Lepisosteus oculatus: one gene and its partner. The protein of the gene in region 2 purifies or fractionates together with the protein of the main gene of each other region. This does not show direct contact. Links are inferred from orthologs where the notes say so. Each region holds a gene or a part of one and is shown on either strand. Other genes may lie near its edges. The genes, in order: smad7 and tgfbr2b.

What was found.
Region 1: the proteins of tgfbr2b (region 2) and smad7 purify together in Homo sapiens (affinity purification with western blotting; 3 studies listed by BioGRID). This does not show direct contact. The link is inferred for Lepisosteus oculatus from reciprocal best matches to the Homo sapiens genes TGFBR2 and SMAD7.

The regions. Positions count from the first base shown.
Region 1 is NC_090698.1:21,265,931-21,277,566, forward strand, and holds the start of smad7 (mothers against decapentaplegic homolog 7), read right to left. Parts: upstream 5,110-11,636; 5' UTR 3,984-5,109; coding exon 3,518-3,983; intron 2,479-3,517; coding exon 2,425-2,478; intron 1-2,424. UniProt on the Homo sapiens protein: Antagonist of signaling by TGF-beta (transforming growth factor) type 1 receptor superfamily members; has been shown to inhibit TGF-beta (Transforming growth factor) and activin signaling by associating with their receptors thus preventing SMAD2 access.
Region 2 is NC_090705.1:41,079,934-41,091,523, reverse strand, and holds the start of tgfbr2b (TGF-beta receptor type-2), read right to left. Parts: upstream 4,738-11,590; 5' UTR 4,267-4,737; coding exon 4,191-4,266; intron 1-4,190. UniProt on the Homo sapiens protein: Transmembrane serine/threonine kinase forming with the TGF-beta type I serine/threonine kinase receptor, TGFBR1, the non-promiscuous receptor for the TGF-beta cytokines TGFB1, TGFB2 and TGFB3.

The DNA of each region.
Region 1 (11,636 bases), on a different chromosome or scaffold from region 2:
CACATACTAAAGAACTTTCTTACCAAACTCCATAGGTTTGCTCTGATAAGGACTCCACAAAGCTGAGGTGCTACGAATTTTTTCACCAGACTAGAATTTAACACCTAAAGGATACGTTTTACCAGGCCTGAAGCTTTGAATTCCTTGCGTCAAACTGCAAGGACTGCCCTTGAAAAAAAATGTGAACATAGTGAAATTGCTTTCAAAATTTTGTCCACTGTGCTTCTAAAATACTTAGAAAATGCAATCAAATTTTCCAATAGTGGAGACTGACATTTCTAACAGAAATCTCTTGGGAAAAGTTGTGTTTCTCCTGACCCAACTCGAAACATGCTTTCAAATAAGCTCACCTGATATTGTTATGACATCTGTGAGGCAAGGCCGAAAATGAAAGCCCCATAAATGAGTCCTTTCTCTCCACACCCCATTGTCCCAATGTGAAGTTTTCCTGCTTTTCCTTCAAAAGAGCTCCAAAAAGCCTTTCTACAAGTTATACAGATGTTTGGATTAATCACTTCCTCACAGCTGATGGTGGGGAACTTTTATTTTCACATTGCACTTATTTGCTGACTTTTTTTGTGTTTATTGATGCTCAGCTACCGCTGTCAGGGTCAGCACGCGCTAATTAATCCGCATCACTCATTGGGAATGCAGGAGAAAAAGGACTCTGCCAAGCTCACCGGAAGAGTAGTAAAAGGTTAATGAGGCCCTGATAAGCATCCTTGAGGGAAGCAGTTTCCCAAAATATGTTTTCCTATCTAGGCAATGTGGCTACACAGTCCCCATTCACAATGTACCAGAGCTTTAAAAGCAGCTACCAGGAGAAAAAAAATAACTCTAAAATAAAAGTTTAAACAGCACTAAATAAGAACATACTGTATACACTGCCACTAGAAAAAAATGCTTTTACACTTCGAAAATACTTTTTCAAAAAGCTCACTGCAAATTCAGATCCTCCAGCGCCAATTATTTTATGACTCACTATAAAAGTGCATAACCTTAGACCTGGGAGGATCCAAGCTTGTATCTGGGTATGAATCCAAACCTGCCTTTCTGACTGTCCAGGCAGCCTTGGACAAATGACTCTATCTCTCCTGACCCAACTCAAACATTCTTTCAAATTAGCATTAGTAGATATAAAACAGCACATATGGCTAGCCAGTCAACTTTTGTAAATAAAACCATACTGAAGGGTTAAATATATGTATTAGTTTTAGATACTTTTTTTTCTTAAAACCATGTTGGAAGATATCTTGTGGTGGAGAAAAAAAACATACACAAAACGTGAAATATTTAACTCTGATACATTCAGTGGAAAAGTACTGAACATCCAATACGAAGTGGGTGAAAGTGCTAGAGGTGTGCTTTTATTTTTCCAACTCGAGACACATTAGATTATCTGTGTCACAACAGACCAGCAGGGAGGTCGGAATGCCAGTGCTAGCTGGGAAACAAAGTCGGCGCCAAATACATACCAGTCTGAACTAAGACTACAGTACAACAAAGGGCAAACTTTACAAAATGTGGATAATTCATGCGTTATCAAACTGTGAACTACACGGCAGCATTTCATGTCCAGCTAATCCAGCTGTAATGGCACAGGCAATAGAATACACTTGCCAAACTCATGTTTAGACACCAAGACCGACTCTTTTCTCTTTTCACTTGAAAACAACAAAGCTGCATCAAAGGCTGCACTTGCAACTCATCCCAAGGTGTCTCCATGTCTGTCTACTACAATCAGCAGATCCCTTCCCCAGATTAAATGTGGCTCCAAATATCTTGCCCCCTCCCCACCAAGTAATCCGCATTTCCGATTTCCTCTCAAGCGCTGACCCCCTCCCACCCCCCTCTTGCCCCCAGCCCGCTGTGCTCTGCTGCCAGTGCTGTTTATCTGGCCTGCCAGGTCACCCGCCAGCCAAAAGTTTGTGCAGACAACCACTACAGAGCTGGTGCCAGCCTGGAATGGGCTTGAGTCTTGGCTGCAGGCCATCCTATTACAGGGGCCTGGCATACACAAATGCATTCTGATTGCCCTGCCATAAATCAAAACATCTGATGGAGACTCTAGATTTTGCAAAAGAGGCAAAAGATCCTTCATACCCCACAGAGCCATATGTACATTACATGTCACAGGTAGACCTTGCTGTCTTATAACAATCGAGTCGTTATTTCTGCTTGTCACCTTGTGCTGCCTTTGAAATGCCTATCATCAGTCGTAGCAGTGGTGAATCAACATCAATAACAAAATAAAGTACAATTAATATTTCAGCAACTACTTAAAAGTCATATGAAACAATGTCACACGTTCATTAAAAATCAAACCATTAACAAAAAATAAACCTGCTGTGACAGGTTCACATATACCTCCAGCCATTACTGTTAAGGTAAAACAAATTGCAAAATAAACCAAGTTTAACTCACCAGGTGGTTTAAGAAAGTCCATTGGGTATCTGGAGTAAGGAGGAGGGGGAGACTCTGAAATGAAAAACGGCAGAGAAAAGACAGAGCCATGAGAAAGGGGAGACAGAAACTTATGATAACAGTGGCATTCTTTTAGAAAACTGTTTGTCTTAGCTGCGAGGGTTGGAGGCAGGGCAGCGAGGCGGTGATTGCCTTGATATTTAGCAGTCAGATAAACAAAGGGGGCCGCCTGGCGCCAGTCTCCTTGCTATCTGCGACTCAGGCTGTGTGATACGGGCCTCTTTTGGCTCAACTGAAAACTCTCCAGTCTCTGGAAACTACCAACTTGATCCCGACTGTCCGGTTATCCTGTAGCACCTCGTGTATTTAATTCTTAAAGACTGATTTTATCGGATTGAAGTTTTTAGTGTAATTTATATATATATATAAAATGACCTCTCTCAGGACCATCAAAAGTAATTTAAAAAATCTCAATCCTGCCTCGTTTAATTTAGCCATAATCCGATTTACACTTCGTTACAGCTGATAAGTGTGTTGAAAATTTTGGCTCCAGGGAACGTCAAAAATGCAACAGACGTAGGCGACCAAAATAAAAAGGTAGACACCTTACTTATTTTACAATTTAATGCACTGAAAATGTGACAAAGTGCAGTTCATTCTATATATTCTTACCACACCTTTTTGTTTACTACACACGGAAAAAATGTTACTTTTTAGTCTAGAATGCAGTTTATTAAACTTACAAAGGAGATCAAAGCATATGTATTACAGATTCTTGTACAGATATATCTGTTACAAAGACATTACAAGTCTTTCATACATTGGTACTATGCTTCTTTGCGTTTACCTACTGTCTTAAATTTTAATTAACTGGGTCGTTTCAGGTTGCCACCGCTAACACACAAAGTTATCGATTAGATTTTAGGTTACAAAAACTTTGCATTACGGTTTTCAGTTGTCCCTTAAAAATGTCCGAATACTGTCGCCAAATTGCCTGGCCAGACATTTTTCGACTCTTGAGTTAAAATTTAGCATGCCTGTTATCTTTTGTCACGTTATTTAAAAATACCGGAGAAAGAAAATACCAACTTACCTAATTCACAAAGCCTGCTCATATGGTGAGGATTGCAGCAAACAAGCTCTGGGTTAATTTTCCCATAAGATTCACAGCAAGATAGCCTCTTTAATTCCGAGGAATGCCTGAGATCCGGCCACCTGAATACTTTGTAGAGCAGCAAAGGAAGGGAGTACGTGTGCTGACCCAGTTTGGAGTCCACTTTGCTCGGCAGGAGAAGACAGGGGCTCCTGGCACCCCCTTTTGACTCCACCGCCTGCAAAAGCGCCTCTAATTGTTTCTCTTTGATTTTCTTCAGTATCGAATGGGTCAATGCTTTCAATTCAGCCTCCGTTCCGCGGTTAGATTTGGAAACCTTAGCCGATTTCCCCATGCAGCAGCCCCCGGTTCCATGCGTTCGAGTATCCGCCTCCCCGTCGCCCTCCACGGGCGCACGGCTCCTCCAGAGTCGCCGGACGAGCCCCGATCGTTTGGTCCTGAACATGCGGGACGAAAATAGGGTTTCCCGGCTAAAAAACGAGCATGATGTCCGCAAATCATGAAGAATCCGGGATCCGAGTCCAGGCAACGACAAGCAGCCTGAAATAATATTACGGAAAACGTAGGATTTGGAGCAGCAAAGGCAATCTGTAGCATACGCCAGTCTCTTTTATTTCTAAACCAAAATTCCACAAAAAATATCCAATTAAAAAGGCGCACGGCTTTCCGTGTAACCCCCGTTCACATTAGCTTTATATTGGGGGTACAAAAGTCAGGAGCACCTAATCAGTTTAGTTCTTCAATGATAAATACTGAAATAAAACTAGAGTAGGTTATGTTAGCGTAATACTATTCAATGCAACCAAGCAAAAACACAAAAATAGCAGCCGAACTGGAGTACCTGGACTCATCGGTATTGGTAATGTTAGGAAATAATCAAAAATCGTTACATTAATAGTTCCTTCAATATTTAAAGCGTAATATAAAACAGTACGTGAAAAAAATAAACCACAAACTACAGTGGACAATGGTAACGATAATAAAAATGTTACGAAAAGTAGAAAATGCAGAGAGAAAATACATCCAAAGCCAATCTTGTCCTGGTTTTCTTAAGATTTAATCCACACAATCCTTGATCCGATTGCTAAATAACAGGACTAGCTGAGACTGTCTTTCCCCCTTCTCTTCTTTCAAAGATTATATCCGCCTGTCTGTTCTGCACTCTTGGTCATACATTAGGTTTATTAATTTTAAGAAATCATAAGCTATTGTTTGTTTTTCCAAAGATCCAAACCGGTCTGAACTCTAGCAAATCCGTGAGTGACCTGGTGAAGTGGCAGTCCAAATTTGCAATGTCTTGTACTGAACACTTGCTTTGCCAGTATAATACTGTGCAGACCCTTCGGTTTCGTCCCTTTTTTACGAGCACCGTATCTTTTATATTTCCTTATTCTCCGTTATCCGACCTCTTTTAAGCAGAAGTTTCCGTCTCGTCAAAGAAGGAGACTCCAAATTGTAAGTCTGCACAGAGGTGATGCGATCTTCGGGAGAGAGGGCTGAAAGTGACGTGAATTGCCCAAAGTGCCCTTGCCTTCTCTCGCTTGCTTATCTCTCTCCCCGACTCTCTCCGCTCTTAGCTCTGTCTCCAGTGCGCATTGGCGCGCCCCATCACGTGGGTGTCTAGACACCCTGTCGCTTTAAAAAAAAAGTGATTGTGTTGCGCAAACAAGAGATCAAGTAACTTAAAGCCAGAGAAATCGTTCTTAGGAAGAAAAAAAAGTTGCATATTCTCAGAGCTGATGAAAAATCGTTTGACTTGGAAAATGAAAGTTGACAAGCAAAAGGAAGACATTGTGTCCGCTTTTCCATGTATTAATGTATTGCATTTTCTCGCTAACCAACATATTAAAAAAATGTTTAGTGTATGAGAGGGATTGAATAAAGGTATGATTGTGGGATCGTTTAACATGACACTTTTGATGTAATTTAGGCTTTGGAATTAATATTCGTCCTGTTCACGCATTTTAAAAATGTTACCATTATTAGCATTTCTTGAAACGTCTATACATTCAGAATGACCGATTCTAAGCAATAGACAGTGTATATATATACCATCAGAGTATACAGTATAATTGCATTGAGGTTGATGAGACTTATTATGTCAAGTAAACTGATATTTACTATAACTCTGAGAAAGTAAAATGGGTCAATATCTAAGTTATAATAAACGGAAAGACGAGTGTGTGTCCTGTGTACTTGGCTTACTTGGCCCCGAAACCCAGATACGGTTTAACCCAAGGTGGCAGATAGGGCAGTTAAATTGGAAAACATTAATAACACCACAGCAAGGTTACTTTTCAATAGCAAACGCGATTCTGAAACCTGGTTAATAATAGACAATACATGGTTAATAACAAAGAGGTGTTGATAAAATGAATGAAGAATTATTTAACTGGATCAATTTCGGCCTTTCAAATTTAAGATACACACATTTCATTTTAGTGAAGCATGTTTTGCTAATTTCTTATTGTTATTTTATATATATCAACTTCTGATTGTATTATTTGGTATAGTATTCGATGCGTTAGTTTACACTTATAACAATGAAATGTAGCATTTTTAACCATTTCCTGTGTATGCAATCGGCTCCATGTCACCCTTCATTAATTGTGTATCTGTATATTTTCAGTGTATATAGTTAACGAACGCATAGATCAATTTGCAATCATCAGTTCTTCTTCTGGTACTCTGACGTGTTTGTGGGACATCCCCCGTGCTTCTTACCTAAACTATCTACTTAAATGATGTGGTTGTGAGACTGGTTTAAATGAACTACGGTTTAAAAAAGCAGAATGCACAGAACAGTTGGCATTGTGCCGTGACAGACAGTCGAAGACGGCTTGCATTAACCTATTTCACTGCACCAGAATGAGAGAGATACTGTAGAGACGAATAGAAACTTTGTGGGTAATCGTTTCTGTAGCCGTTACCTTATACGCTTTAAGCTGAATTGCACTTCAGATATAGTGTACTCGAGAAACTAGGCTACAGAAATTGTTAATACGCAAGATGTTGGAAAACCGCATCTCTGAAGCAGCTACTGATGAGCGAGGGTATTTTACACATGTACTTCTTTTTCTGCGTCTTAGTAATTGTCTAGCTGTATTGGGCTATAGTGAAGGTGCGAGGTGGTTTACCGAGTATTTCCACGAATAAGTATTTTGCGATCGTATGCATAGACACAATACTTCTACTGTCAAAGATTTAGAAATTCTATCGACGCACATTAATAATCACAACACGCATTTCACGTATTTTCACTTCATGTCTTGTGAAGGTGCTGTATGATAAAGCGTAAGAACACTGAAACTGGTGCGAAGAAGATTTTTCTGCCCTGAAATGTGTTTGAATTGGACAAAAATCGTGATTACTTCTTTGTACAGTAGTCGTCTGTGTTCTGGACCTCTGAAAATGATCACGTTTTAAACTATAATATCTAGACCAGAAATTTAACGAAATACCAGTAATTGCATAGTGGTGGAATACATAATTCTGATCCATAATAATATGTAACCTAGCCTTCACCATGCAGCAACTCGCCCAGATAAAAAGTAACAAAGTAGCACAGCAGAGTAGGCACATTGAAAAGATACTTCTGGCCGGTTTACATTTTCGAACAAATCGAGAGATTTAGCTTACAGATATGCGATCACAATTTTAATGGCTCGTTTTACAGTGTTTTATAAAGAAATGGATACAGCCGAAATTCTAATGTGTTTTTTCCCTAAATAATAACGGCTGGAACGAAATTGTAAGTATAATTTTTTTCATAACTGAGTGCGAAGTGTAGAGTGTATTCATTCGGGATGATTAAACTGGCCCTTTAAGCGGCCTCGGCGGCTGGGTGGACAGAGATCTTGTGTGAGTTAAGAATGCCGACGTAATTGTGTCCTAGACAGTAGGGGAGGTGCAGTATGTTAATATGGGTGCCAGTCAGTGTCGCTGCAGGGCAGAGGGATGGATGATAATGATGATGGGAGATGTGTGCTTGGGAGGCGCCGCCAGTCAATGGTTCAGTCCCATTGTTAGCAGATTCCCCACTGGCGCCGCACAAGAGCTGCGCTCAACTGGCAACCTTCAACATTTAAGGTAGTCTGGAAGTAATCATGCAGAAGCGCACAGAAGTGGGCTGTGACGTCACGATACAGCATAGCATGTAGTTATTGTAATAGAGCAATACCGCAGGATTCCTAAGGTATCGCTACGATAATGTATCACGGGATATTTCTGGTAGTACTACATTATTGTATTGTCCTGATACATATACCAGTATCATAAGGGCATAATTGAAATTTAATTGTGGGGGGTGGTTATAAAGTGAAATTACGTAATTCAGCAATCATCGTGAAAATTGTACCATGGGGTACTGAAATTTGGTAGCCCACACATACAGAAGGGAACATCGGAGGGCACGTGTCGCACACCAGAGGGCGCTACCCGGTTCAGTGTGACCCACGTCTGTGTTCTGAATGGTTTGCATGAATGGGAGTGCGTTGTACTACATGGGCGGCAGTACGAGGGCTGCCTACTGTTCGTCCCGGGTGCGAGGTCTTCTTGGTGTTGTTTGAATTTAATTGTAACAAAATGCAATTGCTCCTTGCAGCAATTTTCACAATAAAGTGAAGTTCGAGTCGACCATTCTCTTAAAAACACTGAAATCTGCATCTTTCCGTCACGCAACCAAAAACAAATATATTCGCTGTGAATGGCCTCAACAGAATAAGAAAAATTATAAAAATCAAAACATATCCATTGCAATTAAAGCAAAAACACATCGATTTTCACCAACAGGCTATAATAATTATATATGGTTCATATTGCTACATAATACTTATGTTCTCTGTTAAAAAAATACTATACAGTTTGCAACCTTATCAGATGCGATGTTTTGTGTCATGGTGCTCTTGTTCTTAAACAATTATACTCTTCATGCAAGATTGCTTGACTATTAGTATACTGCATATTACTAAAAGGGAAATACTTTTATATGTAAGGTATGTGTGATAATTGCAAAAAGTCTTTATATTGATAGATTATACTTTATTAATCCCGTAGGGAAATTGATGTGTTATATAATAGAACTGTGATGCATGTTAGTACCAGGCCAATCTTAATAAATTATAAAATGGACAGCAAAAACATGAGAAAATCCCAAACCTTTGTAAAACACAGTTATCCCAAGTTTTGTTTTCATAAACAAACAAATATTATTTATTGGAGAAAAATAAAATAAGGAATATAATATTTAAGAATTTTGTCCAGGTAAAATATTATTTTATTTGAGTGTTGTATTGGAATGTTCCTGCAGAATTACTTTATCCGAGTCCAAAGCTCAAAAAGAAATGATGCCACATATGAGGCTTATTTTTCATTTTCCATTTTTTTCCACAGCCAGTTTGGAAATAAGGCATTTATTTATTTAAAAAAAATAAATATACAAGGTAAAACAAATAGGTAAATAATCTACAAGTATTTTAACCACAGGCTAAAATGTGGTTCCGAACATGAGCTCCATCCAGCTGGAGTTTGCACTGTTTACTGTTCCCTCTTGACCTTACCATTTTAATGACAGGCTCTTCATTTTTACATGTAACACAAAAGACCAGCCCTGTAGTTCCCCAGCTTAGCTCTGAAATAAATTTAGCTCCCACATTATAGATAATGTGCATTTTTCTGACAGAGTTATTTCTTAATTTCCCCAGGTTATAAAAACATAAATCATTTTTAGTATTGTGAAATACCTTTAGCTTTACCAGGTTGTAATAAGATGGTTGCTTAGCTGGTCACAACAATATTTTCACAAACTAACAGAAACTATCATATCTTTAATATAATTTACATTAGGTTTAGCTTTGTCCATCCAAATACTGAAATGAATATAAGACACAGAGGCACTTCAGAAAGAATCAAGAAACTCAGTTTAATGATAGATGTTAAACATGTTGAAATGTGAGACTGTTGTAATAAGGTTTCATGGGAAAATGCCTTGTAAAAATGAATGTACTACACTGAGAGCCTAAAAGAACTTAGTCTTGAACAAACAAGATAGGACCTGAGCAAAATATTCAAAGTCCTTCAAGATGTTGGCAAAGCTAACTGTGTGGACTTCCTTGGAATCAACAGAATGAGATGCGAACCACAGAACACTAACAAACACTTTGTGGAAGTGCTTTTTACTATCCAAGACATAGATAAATGTGTAAATTCTATACATTTGCCCATATATCTAGTATTTTTCTAACCTGTTTATTATTTTCTCACAGTAAGGAAAATAATTATTTAACATAAACACATAAAATACAAATTCTACATTTTGTAATGTTCATTCTGCCTGTTTGTAATACTTTGCACTTTTACATTTAATATGTCATTGAATGTGACAGTGGAAGAGACAGCTAACATCCTAGTAGCAAAATCAAGAAAGGTTTATTTCAAAAGCCATTTGATTCCAGAAGTTATCAGTTAAAGGCATGTCATGCTGCCCATGTGTAGCAGGGCTCATTTATTATGAGTCTGGTACAATGACGTATTCTTTTGGAACTTCAAAGGTACAGCAAACCCAGTTTTTCACTTGCTACATCTTTTGGATCACTTGAAGTGTATGCCTGCCTGTGTGGAGGTTTGCAGAGAGATTATGGATTAAATCACACTCCGAATGAACTGCACTTGTGACACATGAAGGCACATAAGCAATATTAAAGTGTTATTTTCAATTTTAATTGTCAGTACCTGTTATGCTAAGTTATGAATATATCAAACTCTCTGTGGGTTTCATATGATGCAAACAGGGTGATCAATAGGGTGATTTTTAAAACAGTTATGGGCTAATTTCTAGGTCACTTGCAAAGCCTGCAACTTGAGGCCCATCTGCTTGAATGATCCTGTCAAACATGTTCAGTGGTTTCAGCATTCCCTGTCATACATGGATTCCCAGAGCATGAGGTTCTCGTTTGTCTCTCTTTAAACCTTACACAATTCTGCACAGTGGAGAGGGCTAACCACTATAAGTCATCCATCATTACTTTGTGAAATTTTACAATGTTCTCGCACTCCTTTGTGAGTAATTTAATGACAGCTTTCTGCTCAAAACATAGAACATTAGATAGGTTACAAATGAGAGAAGGTCATTTAGTCTATTTAATTTGTTTGGCTGCTAGTAGCTAATTGATCAAAGGGTTTTATTCAGCTGTTTCTTGAACAAAGACAAAGGTATCAGTTTAAACAACTGGCTGGGTAGCTTTCTCCATTTACCCACAGCACATGGTGTAAAAAAGTGCCTCCTGTTCTTGGTGTGTAAATGCACATGAGCAAAGTCATTGGAGGTTGTGCTCCACCTTAAAAATAGAACACACCCATTAACCCAGAACTTGATATTAACCAATTATATGAATACAGACACATGCATGTATACTGTATAGTATGTGCTTGTAACTGTAAGAACAGAATGGTCCATGTGTGCCTAGCACTGGCTTAATGGAAAATGACCTACTTAGACAGATGGTATCAACAAGAAATAAACACCCAGCAATCAATTAGAATTCTCTAATAGTTCATGGTAAAATAGCCAGCCTATCAAAACCAATGCTATCTTTACCACATGTAGATTTCAAGGTAAGTCATAGCATTTTGGTTTTCATCTTTCAGAGTTATGATAAGTTATTTCCAAAGCTCTGGCTCTACCAAACTTTCTGTTTTATTGTCAATATTGTTTTTTTAATACAGTATTATTAATGCAGTTATCAAGTAATATACTGAATATGCTTTTTATACAAGGAAAATGTTCAACATGTGCTGCATCAAGTTTTTTTTTCAACCAAGAATGTACCAAATACAGTATATATAGAAGCTTTTACTGTTTAGTCCCTGAAGGATGCAAACTTCCTTTCAGACAGTGAGGTAGCAGTTCAGGCCTTACAGACATTTAATATGGTTATCTTTGGTTAAAGTGGAAACTGCAATCAATCACTTCTGAGACTCCACTGACAGGGGAAGTCGCCAGGAAAGCAGGCAGCCAGCTACTAACCTGTATACCCCATTTTCACATACAGCTCAAATCTAAGCTAATTTGGTTTCGGTTCTTGTTATCCTCCCTGATCCC
Region 2 (11,590 bases):
CAGTTTGAGTATTTGGCGGTCTGCGGATTTTTATGCATGTTATTTTATTGTGCATTGTGGTGCTTATGAAGGAATTATGAGTGCGTTTTTAGCCTTATTCAAGTACATTGTTACCATGAATGTTACACACGGGCAGATGTATATTGAGACAAGTGTGCACTAATAGACTAACAGTCACAGTCATTTAAAAAGTGTATGTCAAGTATATGAACTGCCAACGAAATTATAATTAAATAATAATTAATTATTAGAATTAAATACGATGCAGAATGCACTGGGAGTACGTGCAATGCCCACACTTCAGCCACCTCCCTCCCTGCAACGCTCCTAGATGAGCTTGTTCACAGAAACTGTCGCAGACATTTTTTTTTTAATTGGTGGGTTTGTTTTCTCATGGCCTGCCCTGCGCGAGGAAGCCACAGCATGTGCGCTTATCCCCCAGCGACCGGGGGACACCAATCCACTGGGACCAGAGGGCAAAACACCAGAACGATGATAATGACTAGTCAGCCAATCTGTAATTTGCAGTAGGGAACGGGAAGGTAATGAAAAGGCAGAAAATTACGGCGCTGCATGTCTGCCCCTCAGTGAGTAACAGTGGTCACAGGATGAGCCTCGGGGCCTCTGCAGGACTGACTTCACGGCACGAGGTGAAGGCCTGTGCACAGGAGAGCCGTCCAATGACAGGGCCTACCGGGAGAGAAAAGCAGCTCGAGGCTGACCATGCTGTCTCGCTGAGCTGCTCCGAGACAGAAGAGCTTAGCTTCACTCCTGTGGTCTCCATTTGGCCTCCAGCTTTCGGATTTACGGACGAGTTCGTTCAGAACGGCCAGACCAGTTCAATATGAATTACAGACAAACGGGTGACTTACGTTACGGGGCTTATAACGGAAGCTCGGCAGCAAGGTCAGGTCCTAATCTCCCACACTTCTGCTCGCCGGCGTATATACAGTACGTCTCGAACCCAGGACCTCTCTGTCCTGGGTTCTTGCCCCACAAGTGCAAGTTCATGCATCTCTGTCACACTGCTACCCACACCTCTCCACCCGCAGTCTTGCAGCATCTCCTCAGCTCAGTCCTCCTACAGCTAGGCAGTCATGCCAAGTAATTTCTAGATATTTCGTTTCTCTGTCGCAATCATTAGGGTCTAACTGAAGTACTGAAAAATAAGAAGAAAAAGGGAAATGTACTGTATATACATACTGTATGTGTATATTTATATGTATATACATATATGTACACTTATACACATGTAAATTGTTCCGTGATGAGTTAGTGTTTTATTGTTATGATGTGCATGTTATTTAAGCAACAATATTCAACCGAGCAAAGGCATAACACAGCTAAAGCCTAGCCGATCTGCAAGTGCCCAGTGATTACGAAGCTAGGTGGTCACACAGCTGTTTAGCCTTAGCAAGAATGCCTTCTAGGATTATTGTTAAACGTAAATAAACTACTCCTTCTGGTTCTGCTCCTTTCACAGACAGCAATCCAGACAATCGCAGCAACGCAAATGGAACAATGTATCTCTTCCACTGCCATGGGGCGTCACTCATGCCTGAAACAACATGGCATCGAGCAGCATCACTGCATCCAAGGCACTGCTGCAGCATCAACGAGTCCATTTCGTTCTCGAAACGGAACGCACAAATGAACGCAAGACGACCCTCCTGATTTGCACCCAAGTCAATCTTGTGAAAGAGTAAAGCGTGCATTCAATGGTGCCATTCTGAATATCTCAGCAGGAGGGCAGATGTATTGTACACATTGTATGGCTCTGTGAAAACACACAAAGCTAAGATAGGTGTTCCTTTGCCACAGGCCTTCACATGCAGTACATTGCAGATCACGACGTTTCACCGGTTCGCACACTGTAGCTTCCAATAGAACATTTTTTCCCCTCTGCTGTCTAAAGCACTTTATTTACAGAGATTTACTCTTTCATTACTTAACCTTCTTATCACCTTTTGTGAAATAAACATACCACTGCTCTTGAAATTATGTGTTATTGCTTGGATCCTCCGAGGCCTGAGAGGCAAAATATTTTCTCCGTACATGACTGTTTTGCAATCTATACAGCTTTTGACAGGAAATTCCTACACCTCTCATATTTTCAACATTAGGTCATTAGATTATTAGTCCTCTGTAACATACACAGTACTCAGCACTATTAAAACCACATGAGAAGTAATAATGACAGATTTAGTGAAAGAACAATAAATAGAAAATTATATGCAGCAAGAAATATTACTAATCCAATTTGATGCTCATGTTAATTGCAAGCACATTCCAGCTTTAAAAGGATAGGTTTACAGACATGGATATAATAGCAGTTTATCTATCTGGGATCTGTCATCTTTCAAAAGAAACTGACATTTCGTCTCACACAACTCTTTCTGATAAAGCTTGTTTTTCCCCCACACTTTCTCTACTTGCAAACTTACTCCATACCAACACAATTTTCTCCCTCAAAATGCACAAGGTATATCAGAAAAATGCACTGTATTTGCTGACTTCATGTGGTCTATTGCTTTGGCACAGGGGTACACTAGTTCAGCACTGTAGCCCTGGGATCAATTCTGGACCTGGGCTGCTGCCTGAGAGTAGTTTCTGGATGTTCTCCCTGTGTTTAAGTGAGTTTCCTCGGGGTGCTCTTATCCAAAGACATACCAGGAGGTTAACTGGCTTCTGTAAAAAACTGACCCTGGTTTAAGTGTGCGTGTGTTTTTGTCTGTATGTGCCCTGTGATGGACTGGCATCCCATCCAGGGTGTATCCTGCCTTACTCCCTAACTTGCTGGGATAGACTCAGGATCCCAAGTGACCCCGTATTGGATAAAGAGGTTAGAAAATGGATGTATGGACCACTAATGTATAAATGTAAAATTCATTACAAAACCAAACAGGTAAGTGGGACTCTGTCTGCACAGCAAGAATTTATTTGGAAAACTCTGCAACTTCAAGTGGTGTTTTCAATACTGAGAGAGGAAAAAAAAAACTTGTTCCAAGACCGAACTGCGTTGCAGTGTTAGGCCGAGGTGCAAAACATACTTGGCTACCCCCACACAAAATCGCTTCAGGCACTTGTGCAAAAAGTTGCTGCATACTGCACCTATCCTGACGCCACTAAGTTTTACAGTACAGTTTGTTAATCCACGACTGGTGTTTTCACGCTGCCTGTTTTAAGGCGCTTTAAGTGCTCATCATATTTATATAAACAATCGAATAACTGATCACTCACAGTACAAAACAACGGGTTTGCTGTAAAAGAAGAATGTAAAGGAGATAGCTCTTCCTCTGAGACTACACTGACAACCGTATACAGTACATTCATCTACACACACTCCGGAGTAAGGGCCTTCAACTTTAAAACCCAGCAACACCACTTTCATCCGGATATAACTCACTGTATGGCAAAAAAGGAGCACGCTATTCGATATCATATCTAAACTGAACAAATGCAATTAGCGTTTACATGGGAGAGAAATTCCGACAAGTGAAAAAGAAAAACTGAACTTCCCCCAAACAGTTACAGCACTTTCATTACCAGCGGATAACTGGCAAGGTGCTCAGATACATTTCAGAAACACCACCATTTCCCAAATGTACGTTACTATATTTCTGTATATAAGCACAAATCATTAACTGCTACAGCAGATAAAGAAATCTACAATGTGCAATACAGTTTCCGTATGGGCAAAAAAAAAACATGGTAGTATTAACCTTGAAGATTGATAGTCTGGTGGCTGCAAGATCATTTTGAAAAGAAAAAGAAAGATACAGTACGTAGTACTCCAACACACGTTTACAGGTATAACAACAGAAGACACCCCCAAAATATGATTTCTCATTTTTGGGGGGGTCGTCTGCCCTTTCACAGTTCAACCACCTGTGGCGCATATCCGTACGCATTGCTGTTAGTTTTTAACCTCAAAAAACTTTTCAGCCTTCAAAAGCAAAAGACATAAGGAAATAACGCGTATACTGTACTTCTGCAACAACGAGCCCCCTGCGATAGAAGAAACGTTTTATTTATTTATTTGCTGCTTTCTCAAACAGACCCGGCAGCTTGTGGACAACAATTAAAAAAAAAACGAACTCGACTGGACTGGCTAAAATATATTTTTTTATAAAAAGGGGTAAAGAAATTGGTGAAGTTCAAGGGTGAATAAAACCTTCAACAAGACTCACCCGTCCGGCCGAAGAGCACAGAGCTGGCGAACAGGGTAGTGCTCCACAGCACGACTGATAAACGAAGTCGGTTCATTTAGACAAACACCGATACCTTTCCTTGACTTTTCATTAAAATGTTTCTTTTTTGCTCTCTCTTCCCTTGCCCTTCAAAAGCGGAGAGGAAATGTTCCCCCCGTCCTCCCAATTGAAGGTTTCAACGTTGTGCGCTTCTGTTGCAAAGTGGGGAAAGAAAAGTCGAAGAAAACAACTCTTCTTTTTTTTTTTGGAGAAAAAAAATGTTGGTCTCAAACTCTGTGCGCCTGCCTTCAGCTATGAAAATACTCTAAACCCCGGGTTATGAGTCAGAGAGTGACTGTATTCACTTCTTTCGCGAAACAGGAAATCTTTGAGAGAAGGGCAGGACTAATTTTTTTTTTCTCCCGAAGCTGTCAGTCCCTTAGAAGTTGTAGTTTACTCTCCTTCAAGTCGAGGCAAGCGCCTAATGACACGCTTAAGACAGATACACACAAAACATCGGTTTCCAAAGGACGCATTTCTAGACGGACGGTATGCTCCAATTTAAAAGAAAATTAAGCACATAAAAATCACATTGATTTTTTTTTTAAAACGGTGCGCTTAAGGCAGTGCCCTACAGGGAAACAACTTTTCAGCTATTGCAGTTTTAACTTGTTTAACGTCCTCCGTACAAGTAATAGGTGTCTCCCGATGAGTCCTGTGGTTAGTTACCAGAGATCTTCCTCACAGGACTTAAAAACAAGGTTAAAATCCCAGGGCAGGTTGGGGTTTTCATATATTCTTCGAATATTTTTCTGTTAAGTAGCAGTTTATCTGCAAGATAGTGGTGAAAATGCACTTCCTGGGGGAGGTGGAGACATGTAATTAAGGTATTTTTTATTTTACTTGTTATTATCTCACGTGTTGTCGGTAAAAAGAGCGACACTGCGTTTCACCTTGGAATTAGGGATATACACACAATGTTTTTTGTCTGGACAAAAGTTTCTGAGTGGAGGCAAAGTTCCTGAAAACCTAAACAAAATGATTAAAAAGACATGTGGCGTGTTAAGAGCACTACTGACAACCGTTTGAAGCCTATGGGAAAAGTATTGTTCACTCAAGTCCCTTGAAATGCGAGTCTTTTTTGACTCACACTCATCCTACAGGAATGCTCTCTGATACATTTTAAAATCTAAACGGAAAAACAAAAGGAGATTGTTTATAAACAACAATGGGGAACAAAGTGGCATCTAGAATATTCACATATTGGCGAAAAAAATGGAAACTGATTTCCCTCTGCTCATTAAATGCATAGCAATGAAGGATGGGATCATTTTTACAGACACACAGGATTGAAAAATTATTTTGGGGGTTTATACACTTGTATATAAATGGTTAGCATGCTTTTGTGATGCTTTCCTCCTGTTGAACATAACCACTTTTAGTACGTATGAGGGTGTCTTAATACTTTATCGCTGAATGGAGGGATCATTTTTAGTAACTCTATAGAAAAGGAAGTCAAAACCACTGTAAAATAATAAGAAATGTATGCAAGACATTTACTGTAATACTACAGTACATGATAGCAGAAGAGTCGGTGGATTCTTTCACACATACTGTATCACATAATCTGATTTTATGGGAAAAGATTGAATTCCTGTGTGTAGCTCAACATTTTTAAATGCTTATTAATTGCTACAGTATGAAGAGGTTCTATGTTTAAGTACGGTCCTTTGTACTAAGAGATACCTACCTCCTTAATTTCAATCTGTGTCTACTTCACTCTGTGCTTCAAAGTAATCATCTGTTTTGGTATTTGTCAACCTCTTTGGAACAGCTCATTCAATTCTGCCTGGCCCCATGTTCCCTTTTTTACAGCCCTTGCTGAATACACCCATATTTTGGTTTTCAGTTAATTCCAGGATATTAGAATTTATTGTTAAAGGACAGTCACAACACATGGTACCTAATGAAAGTGAAGAGGGCCTTCACAGCGTGCATTTGGAACAGAAACACTACTGATTGCTTAGAAAGATGAAGCAATCCTTTCTTTTCGTCTGCAGGATAGCTCCAACAGCACACCCAAACATTAACAGTAGCCCGTCCTTGCTGCACGGCCAAGACAAATGAACATATTTCATGTGCTGGTTTTTATACTGTCAGTTTTAAGACCTGAATTCTTTCATCCATTCTGCAAAGCAGGCTCTAGCAGAACTGTGTCAGAATGAGAACAGGGTGCTGCAAAGGGTGTCTTCAGCTAAAGCAAATAGCAGGGGTCCTGTGAAAGCAATGAGATTTATTCATCTTTGTGTTTTGATGTACAGTACATCCCTATTACACTGTGCATTTTCCTTGTGTTAGCACGTGATGTTTATTTTTAAAACCGGGAACGGCGGACAAAAATATATTATGCTGCTTTTACGGCTAAGTGTGGTTCTCCCTCTGCAACGCTGCAATTAAACTAGCTGCCAAGACGATGTATATTATTTTATCCTCAAATGTTTACTGTACGTTCGCCGTTTCCGGGATACCGACGTAACAAGTTTTGACAACTCTAGGTAACACAAAGGTCCAGTGTGTCTGAGAAGCAAGTTCAGACAGAGCTACTTCTTGTTCTTCTCATCTCAGTTAAAGCCATGCTGGAGATTTTTTTTTACTGTGCTGGTAGTTGCACGTGTTTAATAACATTCTTTTGCTTGCCATGTGACGAAGGCCTATTAGTCTCCTATAGTGTTTTAAAGAGTTTAATATCATTACTGTATGAAAGTAAGGTAGGCATTATCAGTACACACATACTGTACATATCCACTCCTATGCAGCCTATACATATCTAAAAAATATACAGATAACAGTATGATGCATTATGAAAAGATTCACGTTTTGTAAGGCTACAATTTGATGATTTTTAAACTTCATATTTTTAACCCCCTTGTATATGTTCCAAAACCTTTTCAAAGAAAAGCATTTAAACAATGTGTGGAATCCTGAAACAGTTTTGCACACGATTGTGGGTGCTTGTTATTCAGCAGGATAATAAGCCAGATCAGACTAGAAGGCTAATATCTGTCCATTAAATTAATCCATATAAAGTAAACCCATTGAATGAGGAATTCACAGTAATATTTTAATAGCCTGAAGAGTAAACACTGCTGGTGGGCGGGGTGGCCTTTCCGATACTGCCAAATTTCCCACTTTCATGAAAAAAGGAAGCTACTCTCACAGCAAAGCTCATTTAAGTCATTTACAGCTCATTCAAAATGTGACCTTTGTGAAGTCCCCCTGCCAGAAAAGTCTAGTAGTAAAATACAGTACGTCTACTGTAAAAGTTAGTTGGTTACTGTTTGACTCAACCAAAATTATTTTGTGGGCAAAAAAATTTAATATAATCTTAATAATAGGTTAATTCTTGTTTTGCAGATTCTTGTTTTTGCACGTTCACTGTGTGTGAAGTGGTTATGATTGTAGTGTTTCAGTCGTCCATTATATGGTTTACTGACATAGTATAGAATAATTGATAAAAGAATGGATTCTGAATCAATGCACTCTGGAATTCTGTGTATCCATATACGTAAACACCCCACACATTGGACTAGAGTTATTACCTGTCCTTCCCGTAAGGAGACTCTGGATCATCTTCGTGCCTTCAGTCTGAAAGAGAAAAGGGTGGATGTTTATACGAAACCACATCAGGTGCTTAGAAATATATTAACAGAAAATGAGCAGTAGTCACCACTTACAAAGTAGGAATTATTCTCAAGTATAGAAGGTTGTCAGACGTCGCACTGAGAGCCTACACAAGTTTCCCTCTGACAGGCATGAGTGAGTTAAAGGACCCTTGTTGGATTGTCCCGTCCTTGTCCTCCACCCAGCAGGGACCAACTGGGAAGTACTTTCAGGACAGTGGGCTACAGGTGCAGAATGTGTTTTGAGACATCCCAGAAGTGGTGGGCCTGTGGCTAAGGATCTGTGCCTGCTGCTGGAAGGTTGCTGGTTCAAATCCTGTGGCCGGCAGAGGAATCCTTCTCTGTTGGGCCCCTGAGCAAGGCTCTTACCCCCAACTGCTCCAGGGGTGCTGTATAAATGGCTGTCCCTGTGCTCTGACCCCAAGCTTCTCTCTCCCTGTCTGTGTGTCTCACAGAGAGCAAGGTGGGGTATGTGAAAAGACAAATTCCTTATGCAAGAAATTGTATATGGCTTATAGTAATCTTATCTTATCTACAGTAAGTGTTCAAGAAGGATGGGATTAAAGTGTATTTGAAGGCCAGCTCTCCATTGTGATTTTTATGCCCCTGTTGTTATACATGTATTATACTATGTGAAGATTCCTTGATTTTAAATTATGTGCTTTAAAGTAAATAGGGTAAAGTTGCTAACATATTGTGCCCCTTTATGTAGAACTGGTATTTCAATTGGAGCAATTTGGAGAAGTACCTGTCGTGCACTGCCTAACAAGGCTTGGAACCCAAATCCATCCAGTAAGGAGTCCAGAATCTTAATCGCTTCTCCAGTGCAATTCTGTGTTACAGTACTACACTGTCAGCTGGCACACCAGTTTGCCTTTTCAATGGATTCCCCATGTTTTTTAGACCCGGATGATGCTACTAACGCCTTTTTTTATCTGTGGCACCAGTGCTAGGCTACATGATCATAGCTTTCTATGCCACTGCATCATCAATACCACAAATGATACGTAAGCAGAACACAGCTCAAAAATACTGAAGCCCAGGTGCTTTTTACATGCTCATGTTACAGATTATGTGGAGGAATTTTCCAAACATATTGGAAAGTCCCTTGGCAGCCAAGCAGACCGCTACTAAGACTATAAGAACATGTAATAGGAAACAAGAAAGAAAAACCTACAGCCTTGGAAATATATACAGTATAATGTATGCAATAACACTTGCATATTTCACTTCAAATAAACAAGTAATTATGAAACATTTCAAAGAACAAGAGGCTGTTTATAGACATCCTCTTTTTGTTGTATCTAGCAATAGCAACTTACTCCCACACACCTGCACTGAGTTCATCTGATCCGAGCTCCCTGTGACTCATTAGTTTATGAAGCTTGTGGAGATGTATAGACTGTGGAATGAGCAAAAGGAGTGACATACCAGCAGGCTTAAGTCATAGAACCAGGGAGCCTTTCAGTTGTTCTGAGGTTTAGCTCAGGCATCAGTAGGGTAGTTCAAAGTGGAGCTTCAACACAAATGGTACACAGCTTCCTGCAAATAATGTTCTGCTTGCACAAAAGCATATGATATGGAAGTTATTAAGCGAAGTTCGGGAGGGATAACACGGACAAGTCAGTCTCATGCAGCTGTACCTAATCGCAATCATTATGAAATTAGCCATGTATACTAATCTTGAATGCCTCCCTTCGTATTCATCTCAAGCCTGCCTGTTCCAGACCATTTCCACCTCACAGCAGCTCCTGGGTCACTCCTTCTGAAAGGGCTCTGAGCCTCCTCGTCCTGTGGCCAGCAGGCGGCCAATTAGGCCATTAACCTAGCACGTTAAGCCAAACTTACTGTATCTCACCAAGTAGTCCAAGCATTCACAAAGCATACAGCCCTTGGATGTTGTCATCCCTGGTGAAATGTATTTTTGACTCAAGGTGTAGTGGAAGGAACAGCTGGCACAGGCACTGTAAAACAATATCAAAATCATTGTCCGATTGATTTATTTTGAAATGTGTGCAAATTTGTTTGTTTTTTTGCTTTCAACGGGTATCAAGAAGTCTGTGTAAGGTGACGTGTTCATTTCAAAGACTGAGGTTGAAACATTTGTACCACGTGCTGCTAAACACAGTAATGAAAATATACTGTGTGATTTACTAAAGAAAAAGCAAACATTTACAGATGTGCAAAGGTATCATTCGCAGACACTATGAAAAACCGTCAGTCACTTCATCCAGCCTAACCTTAGACTAGGTTTTCTTTTTATTAAGACAAGTTTCAGGACTTGTCTTGTTTGTCTTCAGGACAGCTTTGCTTCCTGTTTCCTTTTCGCTTTGGTTGTGCAACTATGGAAAGGAAACAAACTGCTGGTTTCAAGCTACATTCACTTACGTTTCTGCAGGTCTGAACTGAAGAAAAAGAAAAAGTAAAAACTCTCCTTTTCTAAGTACAACACAAATCGTGGCAGTTCAAATTAATGGGAAGCAATGAATGTGCGCATGAAATAAGGTCATACAAGTAATATTAGGAGCCTGGTTCCCGTTATTGCATCGTAATGATAGGACAACCTTTAATGCTTTCTTTCTGCTCAGCATTGAGATGTATCTGGGGGTAAGTGGCCGGCATATTTTCAGATGAGTCTGGTATGACTGTCCCCTCAAGCCCACAACTCCACCTACTCAGCGATGACTCATACCTCAGGCTGATGTATTGTGCTAAAGGGTCTAACTGCAACTAAACAATCTATTTTGCAAGGCTGGGTGGAGCCCGACATCCCCTTGACCTGCAGCCTGGTGCATTCATTTGCAGAAATTGAGCTGTTGTGGAGAGAAGTACAGATAGATTGCATTGTACCAGTCCAATGTGTCAGCTGGATCAGGGGTGTGCTTTTGTTTTGACTTTGGAAAAAGATGTGTTTAGATTATCCATGTTTTCATCCAGTATTCATTTTTTCCCATTGAATTGCAGAAAAGCATGTTACATTTTAACACTGAAGTGCATAAGGAGACAGAGGGACAGGGTGGCATGATACAAATGTAGTAATTTATAATGTGAAGCATATAAATATACATTGTACAGTATGTTCTGCACATTCTGGACATTTGTATAATAATGAACTGTATTTCAAGGTAGGTTTGGTTTTGAAAATTCTAACATATGTTTGTTATGTACAGTCGATGCCCTGTGGCCATTTGTTCTAAATGTTGGATAGGCAATTGTATTTAGGTGATGTCAACCCACACAAATCGATCTCAGTGACAGATAGAAACCATAAATAAAGAGCGGGGGGAGTTGTTCACCAATGGTCATTGGGATTTTAAGATCTAGAGAAGATCGGGGAACAGAAAGCAGAAAAAATGAAAGAAAGGTAGTATTAAAGTTATAGAAAGTGGTTTAGAGCTAGGGCTGATCACCCCAACTGCTCTTGTTCCATGAAGATAAAATGCATACAATGAGTTCTGTTTCATTTCAGGCAAAAACATTCTCTTTACAGCAGGGGTTTCACGTGTTTATGATAGTAGGTACCTGTATGATCTGATATAATATGCAGGGCCTGACTGCCGGATGCGTGTCTTAACATGTCCGTTAGAAATGTTTTTCTTTTATTTGAAAATGCAACAATACAAAAAAGCAATTTTCTTTCGAACATTCATTTGTCAATATGTCCTTTTTTTCTTCTATTTCTGTTGATAGTGGTCTTCTAAAATTATTGTGAACAATTTT